2 linked regions of the Neurospora crassa OR74A genome follow. The protein of the gene in region 1 purifies or fractionates together with the protein of each later gene. This does not show direct contact. Links are inferred from orthologs where the notes say so. Each region holds a gene or a part of one and is shown on either strand. Other genes may lie near its edges.

Region 1 (3,441 bases):
TGCTCCCGCTGATTCTGACCCGCAACCAGGCAAAACGGAGGGTATTCAGAGCTGTAATGCTGCGAGAAGGTGTATGAATACAGTTACGACAAGTTGTTCAACACGTTTCTGGGCTTTCTGGGCTTGCTCCGACTGTTTGAGGCATCCTGGTTGAAGTTGTTTTGCTGGTTAACGCGGAGACCAGAACATGACCTTTGGATCTCGATGGCAGGCTCAGCTAAAGCGAGACCCAAGATGGAGTCCGGGGTTGCATCATCAGTCATGTCAACCCTTCCAGTTCCCGATGTCGATATTCCTTTGGTACAGCGACCCAGCCGTATCAAGCCATTTCTCTGGTGGAAACCATGGAGGTAGACCATTAGAAGCTTTGCTTAAACCCCGACCACCGCGAGGCCGTCATGCAGGCTTCTTGGTGGTTGTCTTCCATCAGGCAGCCCATCTGGTTGAAGCAGAGCCCAACCTGCCCGATATGCGGTTCATCTTGTGATCCCCAAGGACTCCAGCCTCACGAAGACGTCAGGTTTGACACGCGATATGCCGGAAAAGCCGTGTCTCCTTGCCGCGATTTGATGGCCGATCTTGCATGAACTTTATAAAGTGTATTTGATGTCAGAAGCAGTGAATTTCCCACGGCATGACGTGATAATGTTCGAAAACTAACCATTCAACACCCGTCAACTAAGATCTTGGATTCTTCCCGGTGCGCGCGTCCTTGAGTATCAAATCAAGCTGTATCTGGTCGGGCATCCCTCGCGGTGGGCAGGGTGCCTCCAGAAGACAACTGGCTCAGGCAAGCGATCCGGCTATGCCTTTGCCGGTCAGCGTACAGGAGGGCTCTCCTTATATAAGGGCCTCCGGTCATTCGCTGAATCCTGAGAACTTCGTCTTGATGAAAGAACTCAACGCCCGTATCCTTTCCGATCTCTAGGGCTCCGAGAGATAGCTGAGCGGTTGTGAGGATAACCGAAGATGAACAGTCCGATGCTGGTTGCTCGACTGCTCGGTTATGAGAGCCCGTGACGAAGCTGTAGAATTTTTTATTTTTTTTCTTCCATTTTTTTTTTTTTTTGGTGACACGATGGAAACACTTGGAACTGAGTTTATTCGGGGTGCTTTGATTGAGAAAAAGAGGCATTGTGCTCGGCGTGTTCAGTATGCTTCTTGCTGTGGCTATTTGATTGAGTGCAAGGAGGCATTTGAAACCGGAAAGAACAATTCGAATATGCAGTGGCGCAAGACTCGGGGCCGAACAGTCATTATAAAAATTGTAACGGGAACCATGAATTGGGAAATGGCAGTGATGGACAAAGGTCCGGAAGCGGAAGGGTTAGTGAACGAGAAGTGACTGAACGGGCGAGAGGAAGGAAGAGGACGTTGTAAGCCATCATATGCCACAGACATGAATGAATACATTTATCAAGATGCTGAGTACCCGTAGATCTCGGTCATGCTTACGCATAGTGTATGTACATATCCGAGCCACCCACCCAGTACTCGCGCCAAGGTCGCCGAACCACATCTGAAATGCGGACGTCCGAGCTTTCGCCGTACGCTGACGAAGGCAAACGCATCATCACGACTGATCGACGAGCCATATTCGCCGGCGCCTTGACTTCTACAGCACCTTTTTCCTACCACACTCACGAGTTTCTCCACGAGGCACGAGCATACCAAATCGTACGCACCAAGCAGCACAGAGGCCAAAAGAGGGAAACGGGAAAGGAAGTTGATCGATATGTCTACCGTCGCAAGGACTGGCGAGTCAGCCGGCAAAGTTCTGTCGCTGGTATGTAGCATGCCTTTCTGCGCACTTCTTTCCCTGGATCGTAAACGGTATTTGGGCTAGAACAACGCAAACGCTAACATCGTTGCTTTGAACCAACAGTATCGTCAGCTTTTGCGCCAGGGAAATCAGTTTTCCTCTTACAACTTCAGAGAATACGCCAAGCGCCGCACAAGAGACGCTTTCAGGGAAAACAAGAACGTGGAGGATCCTAGACAGGTGCAGGAACTTGTGCAGAAAGGGTTACAGAATCTTCAGATGCTCAAGGTATGCCGGGCACTCGAGCTGAGACGCGACTTGGAGAATACAGAGAAGTTGACATTGGAATAGCGCCAAACAGTCATTAGCCAGTTTTACCAACAGGACCGCTTGGTCGTTGAGGGCGGGCTCTCGGTAAGTCTTCCTGAACCGTTCCGTGGAGTAGATCAGAGGTGATCTAACAAGTCGCAGGGTAAGGACAAAGAAGGAGGTAAGCTCAGGCAGAAGGATACTGGGTAAGTTATAATCTTGAGAAGCAGATTTGAGAAGAGCTGTCTTGCTAACGAACTGAACCTCAGCTGGGACTAAATGGCTGCAGACGAAAATCCCTGTTTAGTAGTCGCTTTGCACGAATGACACGGGAAGAAAAGGCTATGTTTAATACTATGAGTGAAGGGTTGGCGAAGAGTACACCTGTTCGAGGTTGCAGGAATGATGACGGGATACCAATACCAGCTTTGATTTAGCAGGCCAACAAGTCCAAAGGTGGTGGTCGACGGGGCTTCTCTGATAGCAGAGGATAATTAACTTAAATCAGTTACCATATCAAATTCCAGTGATTCGGCACAATTATGAACGGTCCCTTGGGTATAGATTATGTCTTGGTTGTGTCGTGCCATGATAACCGGCTTTCCGGATCACCGTCAGAACCTGCGAATCCTTGTCGCAACTAGATCGACTCGTTCCTTGCATATCCGAGATCGGTTTGGCAGTGGGGGCTGCCTTAAGAAGGTAAATTGCTTTACCGAGAATTCATGTCCCATTGGCATGGTCAGTGCGACCAGTGCGCGCGACCACTGACTGACCACTGCAGGACGAGCCACTGCAGTCAATCGAAGGCTGTCGGAGAGTGTCAGGTTGGCCGCCGCGACTTGAATGCGACGCGCAACATCCCGCACCTTGTCGACTTCCATCCTTCCATTGACAACATTCTTAGCTGGCGGCATAGGATCGATTTCTTGTGGAAGCTACCTCTGCATCAGTACGGGTTCCCCTTACTCTTCTCTTTCTCTATCACATACCTACCTACCTATAGTTTGCACCATATCGTTACGTAGTCCGGCATCTAGTCGCTTTCAGCCGATCCATCGTTATTGTTCATCATCATCCATCCTTCTATTCAGGTTCCAACACAGTACAGCGGCAGAACAAGCAGCACTTAGAAGCAGTCCCTGGACCGCTGACCTGCACTCACCCACCGACGTTGCTCCACCTCTATTCAAGATTAGACCGAGACATATTCGACCATCTGTTCTGCGGTCCCCAGTATACATCTACGTACCTCCCTCTTGGATAGAGCTATTGGTGTTTTGGATATCGGCACAGCGGTGTTACACTTGTTTGGCGTTTCGTCCTTATCTGCCTGGGCATGAGAAAGAACAGCTAGAGGTTCGGTATCT
Region 2 (4,476 bases), on another chromosome or scaffold:
TACGCAACCCCCGCCGGTCCCCCGCCCAAGGGCTTCCGCATTCCGACGCCCAAGACGTGGGACCAAGAGGAGGAACACGTGCTGGATAAGAACGGACGGTACTTTCTTTTGACGGAGATGTTTAGGGGCATGTATGTGGCTATGGAGCAGTTTTTCAGGCCGCCGTAAGTATCTTGTCTGTCTTTTGTCTGTTTGCTGGCTTGGGAGGATAGGAGGTGGTGAGTGGTGGAAGTTGGAAGGATCTGGGGTGAGGAGGTGGGCAGGATCCACGACATGACAAGTATCATGACTCGCGCACTGGAGTAGTATGGAGATTGCGGCTCTGCGGCTCGTCGCTTGGTTAAGCGCGCTCGTACTGTGCTGCTCCTCCCGCCGCTCCTCCGTCACCACGACGATCAACAGCTACCTAACGACTGCGCAAACCCATACCACCATATTTACTGACACCTCTATTCCAGGTACACAATCTATTACCCCTTCGAAAAGGGTCCCATCTCCCCCCGCTTCCGCGGCGAGCACGCCCTTCGTCGTTACCCGTCGGGCGAAGAACGCTGCATCGCCTGCAAGCTCTGCGAGGCCGTCTGCCCTGCTCAGGCCATCACCATCGAAGCTGAAGAGCGTGCCGATGGAAGCAGAAGGACGACCCGCTACGATATCGACATGACCAAGTGCATTTACTGCGGATTCTGCCAGGAGAGCTGTCCCGTGGATGCGATTGTGGAGAGTCCCAATGCGGAGTACGCAACGGAGACGAGGGAGGAGTTGTTGTATAACAAGGGTGAGTTCTTTTCTGGGGGATGCCGTGATAACCTGGTGCTGGCTGGAGATAGGTTCTTGCTGTCGGGGGGCCAGGAAAATATGACATGTGCTGACAACAGATACAGAAAAGCTACTCTCTAACGGAGACAAGTGGGAGCCTGAGCTTGCGGCTGCTATTCGCGCCGATTCACCTTACAGATAAAGGGGTTGTGGCTTGAAGACCGGATAACAGGACGGACAATGAAGACAGAGATTCTTTTTTTCGTTGTTGCTATGCTAGAGTTTCGGAACCAGCAGTTTCGGACGGGTTGCGGTATCAACAGGACGCACCATTGTGTTATAGAAGGCAGGCAGGCAGGCAGGCGGACAGGCAAAAGAAGGCTGTAGATACATTTGTGAATTGCGTCCCTCATCCAACTTCTTGTCTTTTTGAAAGTCATCTCGCCAGGGAAGATCCTATATGCGGCCAAAGGGACGCATCAAGAAACCTAAAGATGCTTGAAAGGCTGAATGTACAATTAGTGTACGGTACCATCTGTAAGATACAAGCTGTATCGTGATGAACTCCATCCCATCGTATCCATCAACCGGGATTACCCGTCTAACAGACGAGTGGAGTGATCCTGCCCGTGGGGTGTTAGTGGAGTATCTGCTTGACACATTTCTCCGCAGTGTACAAGACGGTACCTGAGCGACCTGCACGTGACTCGGCTGACGAGTAGCAGAACGAGCTGAAGCTTCCATGGCTGCAGTTGCGGGGGAGCATCGAGGTTGTACGTACCAAGGTACCTCCACACGCTGAAGCTCCAGAGTCAGAGGCGGGTTTGTTAGCTTCGTTGGCCGCCGCCGCCCGCAGTTGCCCGCACCCGCTTCCCGCGCCCCCGGCGTACCATAGGCAGTAGGCGAGAAATTTATCATCATCATCGCTGATTCCAGCCAACCACCGCCCAGAAATCCGCTTCCAGCCAGAGAAACCCGCAACAACCTCGTCCGAGAACCACCGAGTAGTAGCGTCACACTCATTTTCGGCCACAGCCTTTCCTGTCACCACCACCGACCCTCAAACACCCGACCGACCCGCGCAATTGACACTTTCCGCGACAGCCCACCCAAACAAAACAAAAAATGTTCCGCACCGCCGCCCTCACTGCCGCCCGCGTGGCCCGTCCCGCCGTCGCCTCCGCCGTCCGCGCTGGTGTTGCCCGTCCTGCTTTTGTCCAGGCCGTCCCCAAGGTCGCTGCCTTCCAGGCTGTCCGGTTTTACAGCGCCGGTGGTCATCTCAAGAAGGATGAGGTCTTTAGCAGGATTGCGCAGGTGTTGAGTGGATTTGACAAGGTGCGTTTTACATCACAAGAGACCTACCCGACACGACATGCATACAAACTTCGAGCAGGAGGATGAGGAGGAGGAGCAGAAGAAAGGAAGGAGATAAGAAAGAGGTGTGAAGAGGCAGAGGGATACGAGTGGTCTAGGGACATACGCTACGCGAAGACAAGAGGAGAGAGCGTGCGGGGGAGCATCATCATCGCAAGCAAACCAGCCGGACAACAGAACACAAACGGAGGAAGACCAAAAAGATGCGAAGAGCATATCAAGGCTGCGCAGACGCGACAAAACGAGATGGAATACGATGAAGAGCACTGCGTGCTCCACACGCTGCGCCATGGTCGGATTTATCGGGAACTTGGGAGCTCTTCGAATGGGTCTGCCCTGCCGGCTGGGCTGGTTCTGCTCCGATGATGATGCTCTCCCCTCGCTTTTTTGCCCTCCTCCTCTTGCTATCTTGCTGGTCAACTTCTTGTCTCTTGCTCTTCTTTCTTCCTTACCTCGGCTGGATCTCCCCTCTCCTCCAGCCTCTTCTTCAGAAGCCACAACAGTCCCGTGTTCGCAACCTTTTTCCAGGCCCAAGCTAACATCTACTTTCCAGGTCAACGACCCCAAGAACGTAAGTACAGACGCAAACACCAACATTTCCTCCTCACCGTCACGGAGACGAACTATGATGTGATTTTTGGTCATGATGGGTCAATCCCAGTGCCCTGGTGCTCCCGGCCTGACAGTCTGGAAGGAGAGACGAGACGGGCAAACCGCAAGAATAGATGCAATGGAACGAGACCAAAGATACAGGGATGAGAGATTCTGACACAAGTTTGCGCATCACAGATCACCGAGACCGCCCACTTCGCCAACGACCTCGGTCTTGACAGCTTGGACACCGTTGAGGTTGTTATGGCTATTGAGGAGGTATGTTGCTCCCTTTTTTTTTCTTTTTATTCCGGGCCCTTGTCATATTCCCTTTTCGGCCCAAGCTCAGCCTCTTATCACAATCACCCTTCAACCCAAACACAGTCATAGCACATGGACGCCAAACACGATGCTAACAAACCTACCCGCAACAGGAGTTCTCCATCGAGATCCCCGACAAGGACGCCGACCAGATCCACTCGGTCGACAAGGCCGTCGAGTACATCCTCAGCCAGCCCGATGCCAACTAAAAAAAGTCCTCTGTTTCGTTCCTTGTTCGAGCGTTTTAGAAACCCCACTACTTGCGCAAATATAAAGCATACTTCTTCTCCCTACCTACCCACCTTACCTTTTCACCTCTATCTTTATCCTTAACTAGGTCGATTCGAAACATATCTTTGTCATTGTTTGGGATTCGATTCGATCTGTGTACCATACGAAAACTTAGAACCTGAATGAAAGAAGAGATGACGAATGGAATGGAGCATCGTGATGGGTACGGGCTAGATGTGAATTGTGGGCAGGTCGGACTTGGTCTTGATGTTGTTATCATTGTCAGAGTGGTTAGTCTGGGTTGGTCAACGCGGCGACACGTTGCAATGTTTGGTGGTCACTAAAGTGGTATTGTGGCAGGCTCAATATAGCGTTGGTGTCAACTCTTGTGCTGTTGCGTTGTGTTTTGTTTGTCGCCTATATCCGTACCTACACACTACTTACATACCCCCCCCCCCCCCCTTTCAGGTAAAGAGAACAATCATGACTGGAGCGCACTCAACTTGAAGGCCTGGGTTTATATGTCTTCCTGTCTGATCACTGCTCAGTTCAACAAACACAGACCAGTACCTGAATCGAGCGAAGTTGGCGAACCAGGAGAAACCATCTGACTGGGTATCTAGATGTATCTACCTTTAAACTGAATAGATACGTGGTATTTCTCAAGAGAAAATGTCAACTTTGTTGCGTGACCAAGTGAAGAAGATGTGACCGACGAGAGATCCTTGATACTACGACGGAGTATGTCTGGTCCTTTAAATGTCCCACTTCAATATTTAGATCGCGGCATGAAGATACCTACCTTAAGGTATGCATGTATTCACCACCACCTCAGAAACTTGCCCTCAAGATCACGTAAAGCCAGAATTGTTCGGTACCTACCTCAAGCTAAAACTGGGCTCCGTACCAACCGATATTCTTTCCTTTATTTTCCTCTTCGTCTTGTTTTCTTTCTATCTTTTATTTTTTATATATTTTACAAATTTTTTTTTTAATTCTTTTTTTCTCTCTCTTTGTTTAGGAGGCATTGATTCGTTCATTCACTCCTGGGAATCTCAATAGTATCGACTCCATCCACTTCGGTTAACCTGCCTTTATAGTGTGTGCGTACAAGACGCCGAGCGAGGGGCTCAGTGAGGTAACAACAAAGTTGATGATCTACAAACGATATCATTCAAGATAACAATACTGTCGCTGCTC

What was found.
Region 2: the proteins of NCU02007 (region 1) and acp-1 purify together in Saccharomyces cerevisiae (affinity purification with mass spectrometry; 4 studies listed by BioGRID, with this or other methods). This does not show direct contact. The link is inferred for Neurospora crassa OR74A from reciprocal best matches to the Saccharomyces cerevisiae genes ISD11 and ACP1.

Annotation. Positions count from the first base shown.
Region 1 is NC_026501.1:1,696,255-1,699,695, forward strand, and holds NCU02007 (iron-sulfur cluster biosynthesis protein Isd11), read left to right. Parts: upstream 1-1,529; 5' UTR 1,530-1,735; coding exon 1,736-1,786; intron 1,787-1,885; coding exon 1,886-2,050; intron 2,051-2,113; coding exon 2,114-2,176; intron 2,177-2,233; coding exon 2,234-2,277; intron 2,278-2,340; coding exon 2,341-2,350; 3' UTR 2,351-2,608; downstream 2,609-3,441. Other genes in the region: NCU02008 (hypothetical protein), read left to right, coding at 188-350, 684-928.
Region 2 is NC_026506.1:4,098,477-4,102,952, forward strand, and holds acp-1 (acp-1), read left to right. Parts: upstream 1-1,548; 5' UTR 1,549-1,884; coding exon 1,885-2,094; intron 2,095-2,686; coding exon 2,687-2,704; intron 2,705-2,922; coding exon 2,923-3,003; intron 3,004-3,158; coding exon 3,159-3,254; 3' UTR 3,255-3,718; downstream 3,719-4,476. Other genes in the region: nuo21.3c (NADH-quinone oxidoreductase chain I), read left to right, coding at 1-164, 459-778, 885-961. UniProt on the Saccharomyces cerevisiae protein: Carrier of the growing fatty acid chain in fatty acid biosynthesis. May be involved in the synthesis of very-long-chain fatty acids.